Stegostoma tigrinum: one gene and its partner. The protein of the gene in region 1 interacts with the protein of each later gene in a biochemical or structural test. Links are inferred from orthologs where the notes say so. Each region holds a gene or a part of one and is shown on either strand. Other genes may lie near its edges.

What was found. The genes of interacting proteins can lie anywhere in the genome.
Region 2: of the proteins of smurf1 (region 1) and mothers against decapentaplegic homolog 5, one has a biochemical effect on the other in vitro, tested with the Homo sapiens proteins (3 studies listed by BioGRID, with this or other methods). The link is inferred for Stegostoma tigrinum from reciprocal best matches to the Homo sapiens genes SMURF1 and SMAD5.

What each region holds. Positions count from the first base shown.
Region 1 is NC_081376.1:11,652,474-11,663,217, forward strand, and holds the start of smurf1 (E3 ubiquitin-protein ligase SMURF1), read left to right. Parts: upstream 1-5,878; 5' UTR 5,879-6,073; coding exon 6,074-6,128; exon of another isoform or gene 6,129-6,287; intron 6,288-6,368; exon of another isoform or gene 6,369-6,591; coding exon of another isoform or gene 6,592-6,592; intron 6,593-10,744. UniProt on the Homo sapiens protein: E3 ubiquitin-protein ligase that acts as a negative regulator of BMP signaling pathway. Mediates ubiquitination and degradation of SMAD1 and SMAD5, 2 receptor-regulated SMADs specific for the BMP pathway.
Region 2 is NC_081366.1:34,600,115-34,610,746, reverse strand, and holds the start of mothers against decapentaplegic homolog 5, read right to left. Parts: upstream 4,439-10,632; 5' UTR 4,261-4,438; intron 1-4,260. UniProt on the Homo sapiens protein: Transcriptional regulator that plays a role in various cellular processes including embryonic development, cell differentiation, angiogenesis and tissue homeostasis.

The DNA.
Region 1 (10,744 bases):
AGAGAACATGAACACCAACTGGCTACAAAAAGACACGACCAAAACACACTCATCTCAATCCACATGGATAATGAGAAGCACCAATTTGAGACAACACCAAATTGACTGGGACAAGCTAAGCTAGGTTGGAGGAGATGCAGTTGTCATTTGGAAGGGCTGTTTAAGGCCCTGAATGGAGTGTGCGTGTGCGTGTGAGTGTGGCGCGCGGGTGTTACATCTTTTACGGTTACGGGGGAAAGTACTGGGGTTGGAGTGGTTGGTGGAGAATGTGGTGTGAACTAAGGCATGACAAAGGGAATGGTTCTTGCGGAAGGCAGAGAAGAGTGGGGAGTGAAAGATGTTCTGCATCATGGGGTCACCACCCATTTCGACTCCCTATCCCACTCCCCCTCCGACACATCTCTCTTCAGCTTTCTCCAGTGTTGCAGTGACTAAGAATGCAAATTTGAGGAACAGCGCCATTTATCTTCTGCCTGGACACCCTACAGCCCAGAGGACTCCACACTGAGTTCTCCAATTTTGAATAACCTTGCCACCCATCCCCTGGCTTCCCTTCCAGCCCCATGTCCTCCCTTCAATTCCACCTTCTGACCCTCTCTTCCAGCCACCAACTGGATTCATACACCCCTTAGACCAACCAGGTTGTACCTACCACCAGTGTCTACCTATCACCACCATTCTGCTTCCACTCCTCCCCACTCTATTTGCAGCTCCCCCTACCCCCACATCCAGTCCTGAAGTAGGGTAATACCTGAAATGTTGACCGCTCCTTTCCTCCAGATGCTGTCTGGCCTGTTTGTGTTCTTCCAGCCTCCTGTTTGTCTACCTGGGATTCCAGCATTGCAGTTTTGTTTTGTCTCTTAGACACTCGGGAGCTGTGGAGGGAACAAAAGATGAACTTTGCCCTCACATTTTCTCTCAAGATTTTAATCTAATTTTTGTAATTAAATTGGTCCTGCATTGTGACAACTTACACACATCTCAGTATATTTTCAGGACTACAAGTGAGAATAAATTGCTATTCTATTCTAAATTTTCTGCTTATCAGTTCAATCTCTCTCCAATGCTAATTTGTTTATGTAATGGTCTTATTAACCTGTGTTACATTTTCATGATTGAAAATGTGTTTATATGTGCCAGGTTGCAACCTAAGGGAGATAGACAGACAAACTCATGAAAATAATCTGAACCATCCAGGGTGATCATCTTGGAAAGGAGATAACATCAGTTATGGAAAGTTTATTTTGGGTAAAAAAAAAATGCAGCCACTGTTAATTGCCGTCAGTTTTGTGTCAAACTGCATTCAGTTTCAATCTCTGACAGAAACTTAGCTACTCCTGTATCCACAAAGAACCTATGAAAGATTTCATGCTAAATGCCTGAAATCTGCAAGAAATGTGATCTAAAAAATAATGTTTAATATCTCATGGGCAGGTTCATTATTTGTCTTGTAAATATTTCCACTTGTATTTTAATTATACTTTCTACTGCTGTGCAATTAAATCTGTAAACCTGATATTTACTGCAGTGGGCAGAAAATGTAAGGCATCTCCAGTGGATTACACCTAAAATGAAAAGGCAACTGTTAGGCTTGCGATCTGCTATGTCATTGGTGTCACACAAAGCTTATTGGAAATTCATTGTGCTTAGAGAAATTGTTTTGCTGAAAACACAAATTAAAATTAGGACGCTCCAAATCATAAATACATTATATACACAGACTGTGTTTATTATTAGTTGTGGCTACACATTTGTCCAGCAGAGGTCACTGAACAGCAGCTGGGAAGAGCATTCCTCAGATTTCCTTCTCTTCCTCCCCAATGCTATAGCTCTGCAATGTTTTCTTTTTCACATTTGAATTCCCTTCATTTTGGAAATTAATATTTGAATCCTTTTCCATCAACCTTTCAGAAAATTCAGTACAGATCATCATAACTTTTTTTTTCTGTTGTGTTTCTTCCGGTTCCATTACCAATTTCCTTAAATCTGTTTTTACTCTTATTACTGATCTTTCTGCATAACAAATTTCTCCTTATTTGCTGTCAAAACCTTTCATGATTTTTGACCATTTCTACTAAATCTTCCTTTTAACTTCGCTGACTTATTGAATACTATGCCAGCTTCTCCCGTCTCTCCACATAAGTACTTCTCATTTATAGGATGTCGGTGTTGTTGGCTGAGCCATTATTTACCGCCTGTCCCTAGTTGCCCTCAAGAAGGTGGTAGAGTGATGACTTCTTGAACGACTGGAATCCATTTCAGTGGAGATGCTCCCTAATAACGTAATGGGGGTGAGTTCCAGGATTTTAATCCAATAAAAGTGAAGGAATAGTGAGCTGTTTCCACGTTAAGATATGGAGCGGTTTCAAACATAACATAAGAAACTAGGAGCAAGAAATGGCTTTTCAGCTCCTTAACCCTGCTCTGGCATTTAAAATGATCATAGTTGTTTGGAGGGGAACTTGCAGGTGGTAGCATTCCCATGTACTGGCTGCCCATTGTTCTTCTCGATGATTGATAGTGATCATGATTTTGGAAGGTGCTAAACAGCCTTGCTGAATTTTTTGCAGTGCATCTTATAGATAGAAAATCAGGGAGAACTGGAGAAACACAGGTCTGGCAGCGTCTGTAGTGAGAAAACAGTTAATGTTTCAGGTCCAGTGACCCTTCATCAGAACCATTCTGATCAATGGTCACTGCACTCAACGTTAACTGTTTTCTAACTACAGACGCTGCCAGACTTGCTTTGTTTTACCAAGACACTTGATTTATTGTTTCAGATTACCAGCATCCGCAGTTCTTTGTGCATCTACACTAAAAGACACAACACTCAAGAAGTCCAGCTTCTTGAATGTTGTTGGAGCTGCACCTATTCAGGCAAGTGGAGGAGCATTCCATCACACTCCTGACTTGTGCCTTTATAGATGGTGAACAGGCTTCCGGGAGTGGGGAGATGAGTTGTTTGCTGCAGGCTTCATAGCCTCTGACCTGCTCTGGTGGCCACCGTTTATATGGTTGCTCCAGATTGGTTTCTGGAGTCTTATATCCCTGGTTCTCTCATCTTGTTGATGATAAATCTCCCCTGTATCTTCTCCCAGGCTTTGTGACCTATGCAGGTGGGAAGATGACAAATCCCAGAATCTAATTTGCATATCTCTCCTCATATCTAACTACCTCTTCTACCGCTATTTAAATATCTGCTGGGGAGCTTGGTCTGTACGATGATAAATCAACTGTGGCTTCCTTTCGGGTCAGTTTCTAATCAACGTACCGTGTGTTCAATCTCTGAAATTTGCAATTTTACAAATTATCAACCTTGCCAATTTGATAGATCTACGGTTTTTTTAAAAATAAACTTATCTTGATCAGTGATTCCAGTGAACACTAAATTTAAAATATTCCTGAATATTTAACATTGCATCATTTTCCAAGTCTGACATATGTGAACTGGTCCTGGTTAGTTTTACCTTTTTGGTATTGTGCATACAAATCACTCTTCCTAAGTACCACTTCAAACTGAGAAATACCAAAATTTAGCAGGCAACTTTGAAATGCAGCACAGCATCAAAAGGATCAGCATTGCCAAGTGTTTTGTTTCGAACAGATCAAAATGTTTGGTGGTGGCGGCGTGGTGAAATCAGCTAAAACAAATTTGTTTTTGTTTCAGGTTGATAGTTGGCACAAGGGGAATTCTACACAAGGCTTAAGGGAATTCCACAGAGGTGGAGGTTCTGTTTGCCTGATTCTGTAAGGACTCTCCTGAGAGCTCCCTTCAATCCATAGGTTTCCAGTCCACTCCCAAGGCCAGATAGCTTCAATTCAGATTGACAATACAAAGACTTAGGGAACCTTCCCAACTTAAACCACAAATTTTCTTAAACACAAAACAAGCACTGACCTTCTACAGCAGTACTGACAGAAAGCTGCACTGTCTGAAGTCTTGCAGATATATAACATTTAAACTGAGCGCCACTTTGTTTCTTTCAGATGGCAGTACAATTTCTTGGGCTATTATTTCAAAGAAGAGATAAGAAGAAATAACCAACATTTATTGCTCGAGCAATATCCAAAAACAGTCTATCTGATCATCACCATAACGCTGTTGGACCTTTGTAGTGCTCTGTTTATTTAAGTGAATTTCCAACGTGATGATAATGAGTAAGTGCACTTATGGTTCAGCAAATATGAAACTTTAAGATCCACTGTCTTTTGGAAAGTGAATGTCTTATAGTCTGTTGATTAGCAAATATTTGACCAATGATGTGCAGGCTAGGTGGATTGGCCATGCTAAATTACCCACAGTGTTCAGGGATGTGTAGATGAGGGGGGGGTGGGTCTGCATAGGATGTTCAGAGGGACGGTGTAGACTTGTTGGGCTGAAAGGCCTGTTTCCACACTGTAGGGATTCTATAATCCAAGTAGTTTTTTTAAAATTCTGATGCATTGTATGTTTTGGCAAATATTATAATTAACTAATTTTGGAATGTTCTGCAGTTATGGAAAGCACAATATAAACCTAAGTCTTTTGTGCATTTGGTTGACCTAGTAAAGGGTAGGAGTGGGACCCTGGGAGACAGAGGTCATGTGCTGAAACTTCTGGAGACAATAACAAACACAGAAATAGCAGATGTAGAAAGCTTGCGGTTCGGCTTGTCTTTTGTGGTCTTGACCGTAAACTTTAACGTCTGTAATCGCTGGGCATAGTGATGAGGATGTGGTGGGAACATACCGGACACTGAAAATATAATTTAATTTTAAGGATCTGAGCCATTAGGAAATCTTTCCAAGATAATAAAGTGTGAAGCTGGATGAACACAGCAGGCCAAGCAGCATCTCAGGAGCACAAAAGATGCTGCTTGGCCTGCTGTGTTCATCCAGCTTCACACTTTATTATCTTGGATTCTCCAGCATCTGCAGTTCCCAATATCTCTCAGGAAATCTTTCCAGCAGTCTGGAAAAGAGACATTTAATTTTGATGACAATTTCTTTCGTCCATTCATTTATACGAGCAGACTTTTTTTGGATCAATAAATAGTAAAGATTGGAAGTCACCAACATGTTTCCTGTGACAAACTTCATCTCTGGAATAAAAACATAGATAACAGGAGCATGAGTAGGCCATTCAGCTCTTTGAGCCAGGTCTACTATTCAACAGGATTATGGCTGATTAGTCAAAATGATTATGACTGATCATTCAACTCAGTACCCTGTTCCCTCCTTCTCCCAAGCCCTAAGAACCTTTTCCAGAAAACATTAAATTCTGGCCTCCACTACTTTCTGTGGCAGAGAATTCCACAAGATCACCACTCTGAGTGAAGAACTTTCTCCTATTCTCAGTCATTGAGAGCCTCCTGACTGCATTTATCCTACGTAGCCATCTCAGAAATTTTATAGGGGCTTCTTCACCTCCACCCCAATTCTTCTAAAGTCTAGAGAATACGGGCAGCCTTTGAACTAACTAGGCAGTGATCTGGGCTGAACAGATTCAAGACAAACCAGGACCACAACGACCCAGGGATCCAACCTCTTGATCCGAGGCTTTACTCCAAACCTCGGTGTTGGACTTGACTGGCCACAGACCGCGTTGGCCTGGTCACCTGAAACTCAGCAAATGGGAAAGGGATTGCCTGGCTCAGTGAAATAATTGAAAATATTGCAGCAGGTTTGATTGAATCTAGATAAGACGAAAGTCGAAAAAATTGTGCAAACCTCTTCTTTAAATAAACTAAAACCATGATGGTGCAGCCAGGATAACAAAGTGTGAAGCTGGATGAACACAGCAGGCCAAGCAGCATCTTAGGAGCATCTTATTCGGGTTACTCGTTCAACGCGGAGGCGCGCCCGCGGCCACGGCGCCGTGACGTCAGCGCGCCACGCGGGAGCGCGCGCTGTAGCTGCCGTCAGTTGTGTCTCGTGCGAACGTTGTGGGTCCGTGTAGTGTTTACCCCTGTTCATAGATCAATAATTTTTTTGTTAAGAAAGGCAAAAGATCCGTCGATCTGTTATATATTTTGAACATCAGCGTACAGGAAACGACCACCCCGCTGTGAAAAAAGGGGAATTTTTCTAAGGAATGTCGAATCCCGGAGCTCGACGGAACGGGTCAAGCATTAAAATCCGGCTGACAGGTAAGAGAAGTTCACTTCGGGCAGGTTTTTGAAGTCTCTTTAGTCGCCGACACGTCAGTGGAGGTTGGAGACCGTAGGATCCGGCTGGAGATGTGACAGAGAGTCTGTGAAGGCAGCTCCGCGGTTGTTTGTGGTAGTTGCTTGTTGCCGGTCTGGAGGCGGCGGCTGTTCCCCGTCGGTCCAGACAAGGGAGGCGAACGGCGCGTGCGCACTGGCCACTTCCTGTCTCAGTCAGCCATTGATGGGGAAATGTCCATCTCACTGAGGGTTTATTATTGCAGTGAAACACTCCAACCAGCTGTACTGTGGTTGGGAAATGTGTAGCCCAGATTCAATGTTACACAACAGTGGAAATGTTTTCAGCCGCTGATGTGTGCAACGAGATTTGGAGAACTCAACATACACTGAGTATTGAACCCTTCGGTTGTGAACTTGGTACTACAGACTGTCAGATGCATTTAAAAGTAAAGTCTAATATTTTGTATTTATGCTGTATGTACAGTATTACCACATAACAGACAAGGACGGCTGGTAAAAGGAAACCTGAGCGTTTAATTTGGTTTTAGATTGACTAATTTTATAAATAAATCTTTATGTGTGAAGTATAAATGTATATAAAATGTTTTTTTTATTTAAACAGCTGAATTTTAAAGTTCACAGTGTTCATTTTGCCCAATAGGATACATGTCAGTCAGTGTTGATCATTGATTCAGATTAAATATGCACTGAATTGTTGGAGGTGTGAGTGGTGCCTCCATGTTTGTATCTTGTTTTCCCAACATTTTTCAAACAAATCGTCATGTTTTCAACTAGTTGCCTAAGAAAGCATCATAACTACAGTTTTGTCAGCGCTTTCCTAACATCGACTTAAGTAGTTTTGTTAGCCTTGTATTTAAATGTCAGGGATGAATACATAACGTGGGACTTCACATGGTCTCTGAAGGTTTTTAATATTAATAATTTAAACTGATTACATTTTATCTGTGGTTATTGCTTTGGACAAAAATCAGGTCACCATGGCAGGAGATAAATAATTGTTCCTATGCGTGAAGATATTTTACTCAACTTTACTTTTCATTCGTTCTGATTCCGTTAAGTTGAATTTCTTACCAGTTCAGATTGGCAAAATGTCTCAATGTCTAAATCTTTTAATATTTTGCATTCACTAAGAACATAACTGAGTTTAGTTTGAGGCCAAACTAAGTATTTCAAATCAAATTGTATATCATATATTTTCCAAACCTCCAGGGTTTGTAGTGGTTGATCAACGGGTACTTCAAATGCAGTATCTGTAAATTTTTGATATATTTTCCAAAATTTTGCTCCCCCTTTCCTCATTATTTGTTTTATTTTAGTATTTTGCATTTTTTTCAAGTTCCCTTCTTTTGCATGAAGTAAAACAATTTTTGTTGTACTTATTAACCATTATATTTCATTTCTTGTTAATTTTTTTCAATTTGTTCTTGAACGTAACCCAGCCCTAATTGGTTATTTCTGCTTGAGTCAACCTATCCCTGGTGGTGCACCTTCAATAGTGATGGGGAGGGAATTCCAAGATTTCCTGCCAGTGGAATGAAGCCAACATATATATACTCAGTTTATATATTCAGGCGTTTGACTTGGAGTTGACAGCATAATCGTGTGTTGCAGTTCTTGCTCATCTTGGTAGGGCTGGGAAATGCATTAAATAATCATAAATATGTATTAATGTTATAAACAATAAATTTATAATTATAAACCTCATAGTGGTGGCATGAAATTCTTAAGGGGGAGGATGAGCAGCCAGAGATCGTGGTGTCCTTTGCTACCAACAACGTAGGTATAAAGAAGGATGAGGTCCTGGGAATGGGTACAGGGAGTTAGGAAAGAGGCTGAAAAGCAGGACCTTGAGGTGTAATAATCACTGAGTTACTACCAGTGCCACGTGCTAGTGAAGCAAGAAATAGAAAGGTAGGTCAGGTGAATGTGTGGCTAAGGAGCTGATGCAGGGGCAGAGTTTCAGGTTCTTGGATTGTTGCGACCTCTCCTGAGGCAAGGGTGACCTGTACAAGAGGGACAGGTTGCATCTAAATTGGAGAGAAACCACCATCCTCACAGGGAGGTTCACTAGTGCCACTTGGGACGATTTAAACTCGAACGTCAAGGGGACTTTGAACCAGAGCTGCAGGCCAGAAAGTGGAGGGATTGAGGGGAAGATAGATGTTGGGATCAGTAAATCAGAAAGAAAGGGCAGGCAGAGACATGTAAATGAACAGGATGGCACTAATGAGCAGACGTGTGTTTGTTTATTTCAATGCAAAGACTATTAAAGGTAAGGCAGGTTAGCTTCGAGCTTGGATCAGTTCATGGGACTATGACGTTGCGGCCATTACAGAGATTTGGTTGAGAGGGGGACAGGACTGGCTACTCAACATTGCAGGGTTTCGTTGTTTTACTCAAGGTGGAGAGGGATGTAAAAGAGATGGAAGGAGCTGCATTACTAATCAGGGAGAATATTGCATCTCTGCTCAGAGAGGACATGCAGGAGGGCTCATCCACTAAGGCAATATGGGTAGAGCTCAAAAATAAGATGTATGGAGTCACCCTGCTTGCATTACACCTTAGGCCTCCAACAGCCACCAAAAGATTGAGGAACAAATATGTAGGCAGATTATGGAAAGGTGCAATAAAAACAGAGTTGCCCTAGTGGGTGACTTTTCGTAGAGCAAGTGGCTTAGATAGGGTGGAATTTGTTAAGCGCATCCAAGAGAGTTTCTTGAAACAGTATGTGGATAATCCAACTAAAAGAGAGGCCATACTGGACCTTGTATTGGCTAATGAGCCTGGCCAGGCGACTGACCTTTCAGTGGGAGAGCATTTTGGTAACAGTGAAAGTTTTAAGGTGGATGTGAAAAAGGATAAGTTAGGACCCTATGGGAAGGTACTAAACTGGGGGAGGGCAAATTATGTCAGTATTAGGCAGGTGCTAAAGGTTGTTAACTGGAAGGAGCTGCTGTCAGGCAAGTCCACATTTGACATGTGGGAATTGTTTCCAATAAGAGTTTAGGACCAGCATGTTCCAGTAAGGCAGAAAGATAAGGATGACAGGATAAAGGACCGTTCGATAATGAGGGAGGTTGTGAATTTTGTCAAAAGAGAAAAAGAAGCATATGTAAGATGTAGGAAGCTAAAATCAGACTCCCTTGAGGAGTATAAAAAAAAGGCAGGAAAATACTCAAGCAGGGAATTCGGAGAGCAAGAAGGGGTCATGAAATGACCTTGGCAAGTAGGGTTAAAGAGAATCCCAAGGCATTTTATAGATAGATTTAAAAACAAGAGAACAAATAGGGAGAAGGTAGAACCACTCATAGATAAAGGCGGAAACTTATGCTTGGAGGTAGAGAATGTGGGTGAGATCCTAAATGAGTACATTGCATCAGTATCCATCCGGGAAAAGAATATAGAGGATAGTGAGATTTGTGTGGAGAATGCTAGGGCATTTTGAGATCAAGAAAGAAGTCGTGTTGGATGTCTTGAATGGTATTAAGGTGGATAAGTCCCCAGGGTCCGATGTTATCTACCCCAGGGTATTGAGAGAGGCAAGAGGAGATTGCTGGGGCCTTGACCAAGGCCTTTTTATCCTTGCTAGCCACTGGAGAGGCCCGGTGGACTTGTCAATAGCTAATGTTGGTCCTCAGTTCAGGAAGCGAAATAGGAATAATCCAGGAAACTACAGACCAATGATTCTGTGGTTGGGAAGTTATTGGAGAGAATTTTTAGCAGTATGATTTACAAACATTTGGAAATTAGGGATAGTCAGCATGGCTTTGTGCAAGGCAGGTCCCGTCCTACTAACCTGATTGGATTTTTCAAGGAGGTGATGAAGGTGATCGATGAGGGTAGTGCAGTGGATGTTGTTTATATGGATTTAGGAAGGCTTTCAACAAGATCCTTCAGGGTAGACTTAGTCAGAAGATTAGGATGCATGGGCTCCGCGGAAACTTGACCATGTGGATTCAGAATTGGCTTGCCCATAGAAGACAATGTGAATTGGTAGAGGGGTGTTTTTCAGGGTGGAGGTCTGTGACTAGTAGTGTTCTGCAGGAATCCGTACTGGGACTTCTGTTGTTTGTGATATAGATAAATGACTTAGATGAAAATGTATATGGGTGGTTTAGTAAGTTTGCAGATGATACAAACATTATTGGAGTTGTGGATAGTGTAGAAGGTTGTCATAGGATACAGTGGGATAAAGGTCAGTTGCAGATATGGGCGGAGAAATGGCTGATGACGTTTAATCTGGGTAATTGTGAGGTGCTGCAGTTTGGGAGATCAAAATATTAAGGAAAAGTATTCAGTTTGTGATAGACCCCTGAATAGCATTGATTTACAAAAGGATCTTGGGTTCAAGTCCACGCAAATAGATAGGGTGGCAAAGAAGGCCTATGGTGTTATTGCCTTTACTGGTTGGGGAATTGAGTACAAGAGTAGAATGTCATGTTGCAGCTTTATAAGATTTTGGTTAGGCATTTTTCCCTTGAAACCACGGTAGAGAGTAAAAGTTGCTTGAAGGTGAGCTTTCATGAAATTCTTCAGAAATTCTGGGAGTCTTACTGGTTAATTATCCACTAAGACAA
Region 2 (10,632 bases), on another chromosome or scaffold:
TGAACACAGCAGGCCCAGCAGCATCTCAGGAACACAAAAGCTGATGTTTCGGGCCTAGACCCTTCATCAGAGAGGGGGATGGGGAGAGGGTTCTGGAACAAATAGGGAGAGAGGGGGAGGCGGACTGGAGATGGAGAGAAAAGAAGATAGGTGGAGAGTATCGGTGGGGAGGTAGGGAGGGGATAGGTCAGTCCAGGGAAGACGGACAGGTTAAGGAGGCGGGATGAGGTTAGTAGGTAGGAAATGAAGGTGCGGCTTGAGGTGGGAGGAAGGGATAGGGGAGAGGAAGAACAGGTTAGGGAGGCGGGGACAAGCTGGGCTGGTTTTGGTATGCAGTGGGGGAAGGGGAAATTTTGAAGCTTATGAAGTCCATGTTGATACCATTGGGCTGCAGGGTTCCCAAGCGGAATATGAGTTGCTGTTCCTGCAAGCTTCGGGTGGCATCATTGTGTCACTGCAGGAGGCCCATGATAGACATGTCGTCTAAGGAATGGGAGGGGGAAGTTAAAATGGTTCGTGACTGGGAGGTGCAGTTGTTTATTACGAACCCCCGCAGTGGACGAGAACGCCCTTGACCGCGTCTCTCGCATTTCCCGCAACACATCCCTCACACCCCGCCCCCGCCCCAACCGGATCCCCCTCGTTCTCACATACCACCCCACCAACCTCCGGATACAACGCATCATCCTCCGACATTTCCACCATCTACAATCCGACCCCAACACCCAAGACATTTTTCCATCCCCACCCTTGTCTGCCTTCCGGAAAGACCCCTCCCTCTGTGACTCCCTTGTCCGCTCCACACTCCCCTCCAACCCCACCACACCCGGCACCTTCCCCTGCAACTGCAGGAAGTGCTACACTTGCCCCCACACCTCCTCCCTCACCCCCATCCCAGGCCTCAAGATGACTTTCCATATTAAGCAGATTTTCACCTGCACATCTGCCAATGTAGTATACTGTATCCACTGTACCCGGTGTAGCTTCCTCGACATTGGGGAAACCAAGTGGAGGCTTGGGGACCGCTTTGCAGAACACCTCCACTCGGTTCACAATAAACAACTGCACCTCCCAGTCGCAAACCCTTTTAACTCCCCCTCCCATTCCTCAGACGACATGTCCATCATGGGCCTCCTGCAGTGCCACAATGATGCCACCCGAAGGTTGCTGGAACAGCAGCTCATATTCCGCTTGGGAACCCTGCAGCCCAATGGTATCAATGTGGACTTCACAAGCTTCAAAATCTCCCCTTCCGCCATTGCATCCCAAAACCAGCCCAGCTCATCCCCTCCCCCCACTGCATCCCAAAACCAGCCCAGCTTGTCCCCGCCTCCCTAACCTGTTCTTCCTCTCACCTATCCCTTCCTCCTACCTCAGGCCGTACCTCCATTTCCTACCTACTAACTTCATCTCGCCTCCTTGACCTGTCCGTCTTCCCTGGACTGACCTATCCCTTCCCTACCTCCCCACCTATCTTCTTTTCTCTCCACCTCTGGTCCGCCTCCCCCTCTCTCCCTATTTATTCCACAACCCTCTCCCCATCCCCCTCTCTGATCAAGGGTTTAGGCCCGAAACGTCAGCTTTTGTGCTCCTGAGATGCTGGTTGGCCTGCTGTGTTCATCCAGCTCCACACTTCGTTATCTACACAGTAATAACCTACTCAGGTCACGGGCTGGAAATTGAGGGAAACAACAGGCTCCCCAAAGCCCGTCAGCCATCTAGAAGGCAAATATCAGGAGTATGACAGAATACATTCCACCTGGCTGGATAAGTACAGCTTGAAAAACTTGAAGTCATCCTGGACAAAGCAGCTCATTTGATTAGCACTCATTCACCAACATTACTCTTTCTACAAGTAACAGAGGGGCAGCTGTGCATACCATTTGCAAAATGCATTGCAACAATTCATCATGAGTCCAGTGACAACTTCTACACCACAATTTTTACCATTTTGAAGGACATGGGCAACAAATACAAGATACACCATCATGCGCATTGATTGTAACTACACCACCATTCCTTGAATGTCACTAATCAAATATTGAAACTCCCTTCCTCAGAACAGTGTATTTGCACCAAATGGACTACTGTTGTTCAAGGCAGCTCACCAACTTCTAAAAGACAACAGAGATTAGCTATAAATGTTAGCCTGGTCAGAGAGGCTCACATCAAATGAGCTTTAAAAATTGTTTAGCTTACTGCATAAAATACATCGTACGTCAACATAATTACCTCAGCCACTGACGCTGGATAGAGGGGACATTTTCACCTGTTTGTCTCTTGACAAATTTTTTTAAAAGCTACTGGTGAATTTCAATGAAACTTGGTACACTAATCGGGCATGGCCCAATGAACAAATAATTAGGTTTTAGCAAAGATACAGATTAAATTCTGGGTTTTTTTTAAAAAATCAGTTGAAAAGAAATGACAAATTGCCTCTTTTCTTTAAGAAATGAAAGGACTCAGAAGCAAAAAGCAATGGCCAAATAGCTAAAAGGTGAGAGATAATGGGAACTGCAGATGCTGGAGATTCCAAGATAATAAAATGTGAGGCTGGATGAACACAGCAGGCCAAGCAGCATCCCAGGAGCACAAAAGCTGTTGTGCTCCTGGGATGCTGCTTGGCCTGCTGTGTTCATCCAGCCTCACATTTTATTATCTTAGCTAAAAGGTGATGTTGGCTAATGAAGAGGAAAAGGCAGGAGGAGTATTAAGGCCACACAGTTGGGTAGACCACATGCAATAAAAACAAAAGATTCATGCAAATAATAACAGTACAGAAGTGCAAGACGATAACACTAAACAAGACTGCCTTTGCATTTTTTTGTGGGGCAAGAGAAAAATATGCCTACAAAGGACAACTATGTAAAATATTCATTCTGCTGCTTAAAAACATAATTAGATTACAGTACAATTTGCTCAAATTAATGACCATCTCTATGACTCTATTATAGTGACTCTTCACTTACCCTATGAAATTATAATCATTTAATTTTCACTCTCCATCCAAAAAAAATTTAATTTCCTCACTGATATTTGAAATTCAAGAACTTGGTCTCGAGTATAATTTCAACAGAAAAGTAATACTCGTATATTTTCTTGCAACTTTAAGAAACTATTAGTACAATATACAGTAATGTCTATGTACAATTAACATAAAATATCTTAATTTATTGGTATGATATAAAATTCAATGATTTTAACATTAGCTTGTCATGCAAATTATTTAGAATCAGGATTTTTGAACATCAATAAGTCTACTTATCAGAAGTTTAATTTAAAAGTATCAATTTCAGCACTTTTATATAACACCCAATAAATATACAAATCAAAGTGCATCCATATTAAATGTTATTTGTTACAATAATCTCAAATTATGATGCATTTAAAAAATAAACTTGGATACAAAATGACATTCTATCAGAAAACTTTTTAAAGAAATTTATTACGCCCTAAGGAGGCAGCTTTATTATGTCTAAGGATATAAATTAAATCACCGAAAACTAAAACAGCTTCGAAGTCTGTGAACTACCCTTGAGTTTGGCAAAATCTAGGTAATAGCTCAACGATCCAGCAGCTGCTGTTCTCTTGTCGAGAACGGAACCCAGCATTCAACCCCCACCCCCAGCTTCACTATCATCTGATCAGATTTCATTGTAGCCACCGACAATCTCGACTCTCTTCCCGGGAAATCACACACACCTGTCCCTTTCTCAGGTCTGTTCTAAGGTTGGAACAAACAATATTCGGGAACTAGACATTTCATCCTTTGTTCCTCAAAGCAAAAAAAAACATTTTGATCATCGCCCCCGCTTGGCACAGCGCGCAATGAATAGCCGCAACTACAACTGCGGACGGGGCACAGTACCCACTTCCTAAAACTTTCCACCTCAATTTGTCTCCCTGTGTCCTCCTTCCTCCGCAGCCATTCCGTAAACACAGCCTCTAACCCACTGGAGTTTCGGGTTGGGCCGGGCCGCAAATCAGGAAACCACAGCCCGAATAAAGGCGGCTTCCCCGTGGCCTGAGATGGAGAGGGTGCAAATGGCCGAAATAAAACAATCCAGCTGAGATGACGGGAGGTTTGAAATGGCAGGCACCCCAAAGGCCTCTGCAGCCCGAGTGGGGGCAGCGGGGAGAAGGCAGCTCCCGGGGCGACGCCATGTCCTAGACTTCAGTGGAAAACTTCACAAAACCGCCCGCATTGAGCGCCGCAACCCTTACAACAATACTCCCAACCCGCCGCTGTTCTCCCTGTACCTGGAACTCGACACTTTTCTTATCTTTTTGCTTGGTTTTTTTGTTTCATTTCTTTTTTCCCCTCCTCTCCCGAACTTCCCTCTCGGATCCAGAGAGGAGCTGGCGACGCTCAGACTGCAGGCGGAGCACAGGGAGAGAGTAACCCTCCGCGAGATGGGGGAGGGGGCGGGAAGGCAGACTAGGACATCAAGGATGGGCGGGGGGCTAAAAGAGAGTGACATCGAGGATGAGAAAGGAGAGGGAGGGACATCGAGGATGAGAAAGGAGAGGGAGGGACATCAAGGGTGAGGAGGGGGGTGGGAGAGGACATCAAGGGTGAGGAGGGGGGTGGGAGAGGACATCAAGGGTGAGGGAGGGTGAGAGAGGGGGGCATCAAGCGGGAGGGGAGGTGGGAGAGGAGTACATTGAGTGGAAGGAGGGAGGGATATCAAGGATGCGAATGGGCATGGTGGGGAAGAGAGAGACATAAAGGGGGAGAGAGGGACAACACAGTGGTTAACATTGAATAAACGTTTATTGCATGATTAGATATGAATTAAAAGCAAATTTAATACCATAGCTTGAAAAAAAATGTCATGTTGATGAGATAATAGTGTGAAGCTGGATGAACACAGCAGGCCAAGCAGCATCAGAGGAGCAGGAAAGTTTCACGTTTCGGGTCGAGATCCTTCTTCAGAAATGATGACTTGATTTGGGCAGACGTTTTGAGGTTGCTCTGTTGTTAATGCAGGGGCTGAGGCTTGGATTCATCATCACCACCATCACCTTCAAGTACAGTTGTGGTTGCATGGTTAGAGTGAAAAATAGTTAATCCCGGTGGCTGTGGTTCATTGCCTTCTGACTGTTTCTTTGGGGGTGGGGGGTGTTGACTTAAAAAAATCCCATTTTTACTGCTTTGTCCTTTTTCTTTTTTTCATGAAGCTGTTTGTAGGATGCAAAATAAGATCTTATCCTACGAACTGCTACCCTGCTGTGTTCTGCATTGTAATCTATGTCCTCTAACAGCTACAACTGCTTCTCAATTTCCTTCAGGAAAGAAGACAAAACAGAAGTGGAAAGCTCTCATGGTGCTGTATCCTGGACTTCATCTTCTTCACCTCCAGCTTCCACTTTGCCCTCAGTGACAAGTTGTTGTAAATCAGCTGTAACAAGATGTTCACAGTCAGAGTCAAGCAGCTCTTCAACATCTTCACTCTCCACTTCTTCAAATCTAACTTGCTTTGCAAGATAAACACAATGTTCTTTGATTCTTGGGAATTCCTCTCTCAGATCAAAGCCTTTAAAATCTTTTAAAAATCTGGGAGAAGCTTCTGCCAAACTGCATGCAAACCGTTCCTAATGACATCACCCCTCAGGCCTCTGCGATAATGTCAATTGCATCCTTGATGTTAAAGCTTTTCCAAAATTGAAGAACACTGTCCTTATCCCACTCAGTGGCTGCAATTAGCCTCTTAAATGTGCACCTTAAATAATAAGCTTTAAAAGCTGCTATTGCACCATGGTCCATGTGTTGAAGTAGAGAGTTGTGTCTGGGGATAGAAATAGCATTTTGATGTTATCAGAAAGCTCACTAATGGTGGGTGGATGGATTGGTGCATTATCCAGAATGAGGAGCACCCATGGAATTGCATTATAGCCAATGCAAGTCCGTGTTTTAAAAATAACGTTCCCCTATTTGTCGATCGCATTATAGACAATTCGCATTGCTGGAACACACATAGCAGAACCAACTGTACATCTCAACGATTCTATGAGGAAAATAGTACTGGGAAACACAGTTCAATAGCACCTTTGGTTTCCTAAATCTTTCTACTTTGCAGGTTTCTTATCCTTTACAAGTTCTTCATGCCTGCACAGAACAACTTCTACACTAGTGATTCAGTCTTTCCGTCACTGGTTAAAGGTAATAGCTTATAGTAAATGCAAGAGAATAGTTAGCTATCTTCCAGCGCTTCCATTTTTCACCTTCCAGTTTTGTGTACTTCGCTGCACTGAGATTTGGACATTTTCTGTCCTCCATTCTGGAGGTTCTGCATCAATGTTGTTGTGAGGAAGGATCACCAGATCCGAAACGTTAATTCTGTTTTCTTCTTCGCGTATGCTGCCAGGCCTGCTGAGCTTTTCCAGCAACTTTGTTTTTGTTCACACCCTGTCTGTTCACCTGCCCAACAGCCAGAGGGTTATGTCATGCTGAGTAAAATGGTAGCAGTGCAGTAGGCAATGTTCAGGCTCATCTTCTTTGTCTGCATTTATTTTCCTTTATCTTTATCCTTCTACTGCTTCTTTTTTCTCAGACTTACCTGATAAAGAGAGCTCTTTGGCAGGAGGCAACTTCAATGGGCTCCAGAGCAGTGGCGGCATCTTCAGAGGATGCATGGCTATAGAGTCGGTCGATCAACCTGTGAAGCCTGGAGAGTAACTCTCACTTCCACATGGAGTGGGTTCCTGGTGATGGCATGGCATGTGCTGGTAAGCCCAGAGTGGGAGCCTGGTAGTGCCATTGCACAGAAGGAAAAGTTAGAAACTCTAAGTTATCTTTTTTAAATTGTATTCTATGTTAATGTGAATGGTGCCCAAATGTGATGACAGTACACACTTTTTACTGTATTTTATGTTGAATAAACATGATAATAAAGGATATTCTATTCGGATGACTCCAGGCTTCTGCAACTGATCCTCAATATGTAAAACAATCAAATCCTGTCTCTAGGTGAAACTTACTATGTGCATACTTATTGGCATAACAGCATCTTGAACATTTTTCGCCACTGCTTGAACAAAGCAACAGAGTAAATACAAGTCACAATGAGTTCTAATAACTTGTTTTTAAAGGTACAGCAACTCGTTCCACAGTGCTCGGTTTAAAGCAGACCTTTTCTCAACTTTGTCCACAGTCCAAAATAAAGAGCAATAAAAAGAGTGGCCTTTATGTTCCTTTACCTTTACAAGAGACGAAACGCTGTTTCAAAAAAGCATTTCATCACAAGGTATACATCACATAAACAATAAAACATGAGACTTATTACTATTCATCCTTTGTCCCCTGTTCTGATGCCCGATACAATAATTCAGCATTTCTTAAACCTTTAAAAGTTCTAACATTTTATTGTCAGAACAATGCACCTCTGATCATGTTATCTTTACCAGTAATGTGAATAACCTTAATAAACAATTGAGTCACATTCTATTCCAATGAGGGTTCTCTCCAGCTGAAGAAGGATCATCTAGTCATTGGAACCAAGGAACAAAGACCACTGAACTGACATTCCAATTTTTATCCTTCATCCAATAATCTATTTTTCCCCATTTGTTTGTGTCTGTGTGTGGAGATCTTAAGGGGATTAGAGTTTGATTCATAGTGTTACATGCAAATGATTAATACCTGTTTACCTGTAGTTATAATATAATTAATTGTAATAAATAATCATTCTTGGTTAGTACAGAAACTTGGTCCATACTTTTGATCAACCTTGGCCTGTAAGTCAAGTAAATTAGGTTTCTGTGCACACTTTAAAAAACACTTTTAACATTCGGTATGATGCTGGAAGTAGTGGGGCTCGACTTACAATGTTGGTTGTAACATATTGTTGTAAAACCAGAAAAATGTCCACTTCTTATAGTTTACACTTCTTAAGTAATCTTACTAGATGCTCCCGTTGGTCTTCTTTTAAATACAAGAACACTGTCCTAGTGTTGCTGTGTTGGCTTTGTGTCTGATGTTCGCTTTATAAACTTTGCCTTTCTTTTTACCTCAATCTTTTTGTATCTGTTAGTCTCCATTATTCTTACCACCGGGCACACATCCACATCCCTATCCTCTTCCCTGCAATGATATTGCTTCAACACCTTTACATGACAGAACTGATTCTTCTTCCTGTGATCATAAGTATCTATCAGGTAAGTCACTTTACTAATCCTAACTACCCTTGTATGGACCACTGAACTTTGTTTTCAGAGTTTCACATCACAAAGCCAATCATCTAATCCTTCATATCTTTGAAACACATTCTAATTATAACATGATCATTTTAACTTGTCTTGTGCTACCTCACATACTCATCTGAGTCTTTCCAGAACCATGGACATGTAATTCAACATTGAGGATTCACATTTTTGCCTTAAGAGCTTTTCCTTAGTCAATTTTGATGGATTATCTTATGACCATACATCAGTTCAAATGAATTAAACCCAGAAAAGTAATTTGGGAAAATCACTTGTAGCAAATAGTAAGAAATCAATAGCTTTGTCTTAATCCTATCAGCGTTCATAACAGCATGCCTTAATCGTGGTTTTGAGAGTGTGATACTATCTCACCAAAGCTCCATGAGTGCATATGAAATATAGTTCATAGAATCATTACAGTGTGGAAGCAGGCCAGTTGACCCATCAAGTCTACACTGATCCTCCAAGCACATCTCAAACAGACCCACCACTCCTCTCTGTAACCTTGAACTTCCTCATGGCTAACCCAAGTAGTCCACACATTAGGAGCAAATTGGATTGTAGGAGGAAATCCACACAGACACAGCAGAGTGTGCAAACTCCGCACAGACAGTTGTCTGAGGGTGGAATTTAACCCAGGTCCCTGGTGCTGTGATGCAGCAGTGCTAACCACTGAGCCACCATGTTGCCCTCTTCAATTGACTTCAATTGTTTTAATCCAAACTACTGATAATGACCTGGAAATCTATAGATATCAAGTTAGAATTGTGATCAGATTAAATTTTAATTTGTTGTCCATACCAAGTATAATAGCATCCTGAATCAGTCTCAGCATCAGTATGAGATTTATGTGCGAACTTAATTAACTGTGGATCTGCTGTTTGAACCTAAATTAATGAAGACACGCCAAACACATCTTTTGAATTATTCCTGTTCTTAAAGAGCGTTTTGATGACTCTAACATCTGCTGGTGTTATTACCTTTGCCTCTGGTGGAGGTATTTCTTTAGGCATTGCTCTGGTCACCAAACACAATAGAAAAATACCTGGAACCTTGTAACTGTTCTGCCTCTTTAACCTCACTTGTGCTTTCGATGAAAATAGGGAGAGTTATAGCTTTCATGCCAGCTATCCCCAAGATTTTACTCCAATCACAGGTTGTTTTTAATGACCACAACTACTACTGGTCCAGACAACAACATACATTCCAATCAGAATCTGTACAATGGAATCAGGATACACTCTCCACTTTTCTAGCACCCCAGCTTTCATTGAACTCCCTTGGACTGAATCCTTCTCAAACATTAGAGTTTGAGTAGCCCCATATCCTTAACATATAGCTCTAGCATTTGATGCAAATGGAATTACTTTCCCTTTAGGGAAAAAAAACATTTCATTACACTATTCACCTGTCCTGCACTCGTAGCAATATTTACCTATGATTCTTTAGATGTAGTTATATTTGATCTATGGCATTTTTCAATGTGTTCTTTTTTAGATACATTCTGATGAAGCCAAAATGTTCCATAGACTTCCTCACAACTTCCAAGATTCTAAATAAATGTGTCCCGTTTTATTACAGTGGAAACACTTAGGCCTTCAATTTTCATGTCCACCCTCAGTGCTTTCCTTTCTAAGTGGAGATGATGATGTAGGGGCATCTCCAGTTGTCCATTTTTATCCTGTCTACTTGCCCTCCTTGCACTGTCCCACTTTCTATCCCTTTCAAACATATGAAGGCGATCAAGAAAAGGTTTAGTTTCTGGATAAGCTCATAATCATCAGACATCATTGCTGCCTGTCTAACTGTTGCAATCATTTGATCTTCAACATGGGTTCTTATCACAAATAGACTTCCAATAGACTGTTCACTCAAAGGAATTTATGTATGGTGTCAACTTACAATGCTCATAATCACCTAACATACAACAAGGAACAACGTAAAGCCACGTGGCACTTTGAGCCTACTCCACCATTCAGTAAGATCATGGCTGATTGGATTTTAACCTCAACGCTACATTCTTACATATTCCCGAAAATCTTTCTTCCTCCTAGTAATCGGAAATGTATCTATCCTTGCTTTAAAAATATTTTAAAATTCTGCTTCCACTGCTTTTTGAGGAAGGGAATTCAAAAGACTCAACCCTCAGAGAAAAAATGTTCCTCAACTGTTTTAAAGGGACATCTCCTTATTTTTAAGCTATGACTCTTAGTTCTAGACTCCCACAAGAGGAAACATGCTTTCAACATCTACAGGATCAAATCCCCTCAGGATCTTACATGATTTAATTAAATCATCTCTGACTCTTCTAAACTCCAGAGGATACAGGCCTAGCTTGTCTAGCTTTTTCTTATAAGACAGTGGTTTTAAAACCATGCACCATGGTGCGCCGTGAAATTTTGTACAGAGGTAACAAAAATAAATAAGCTT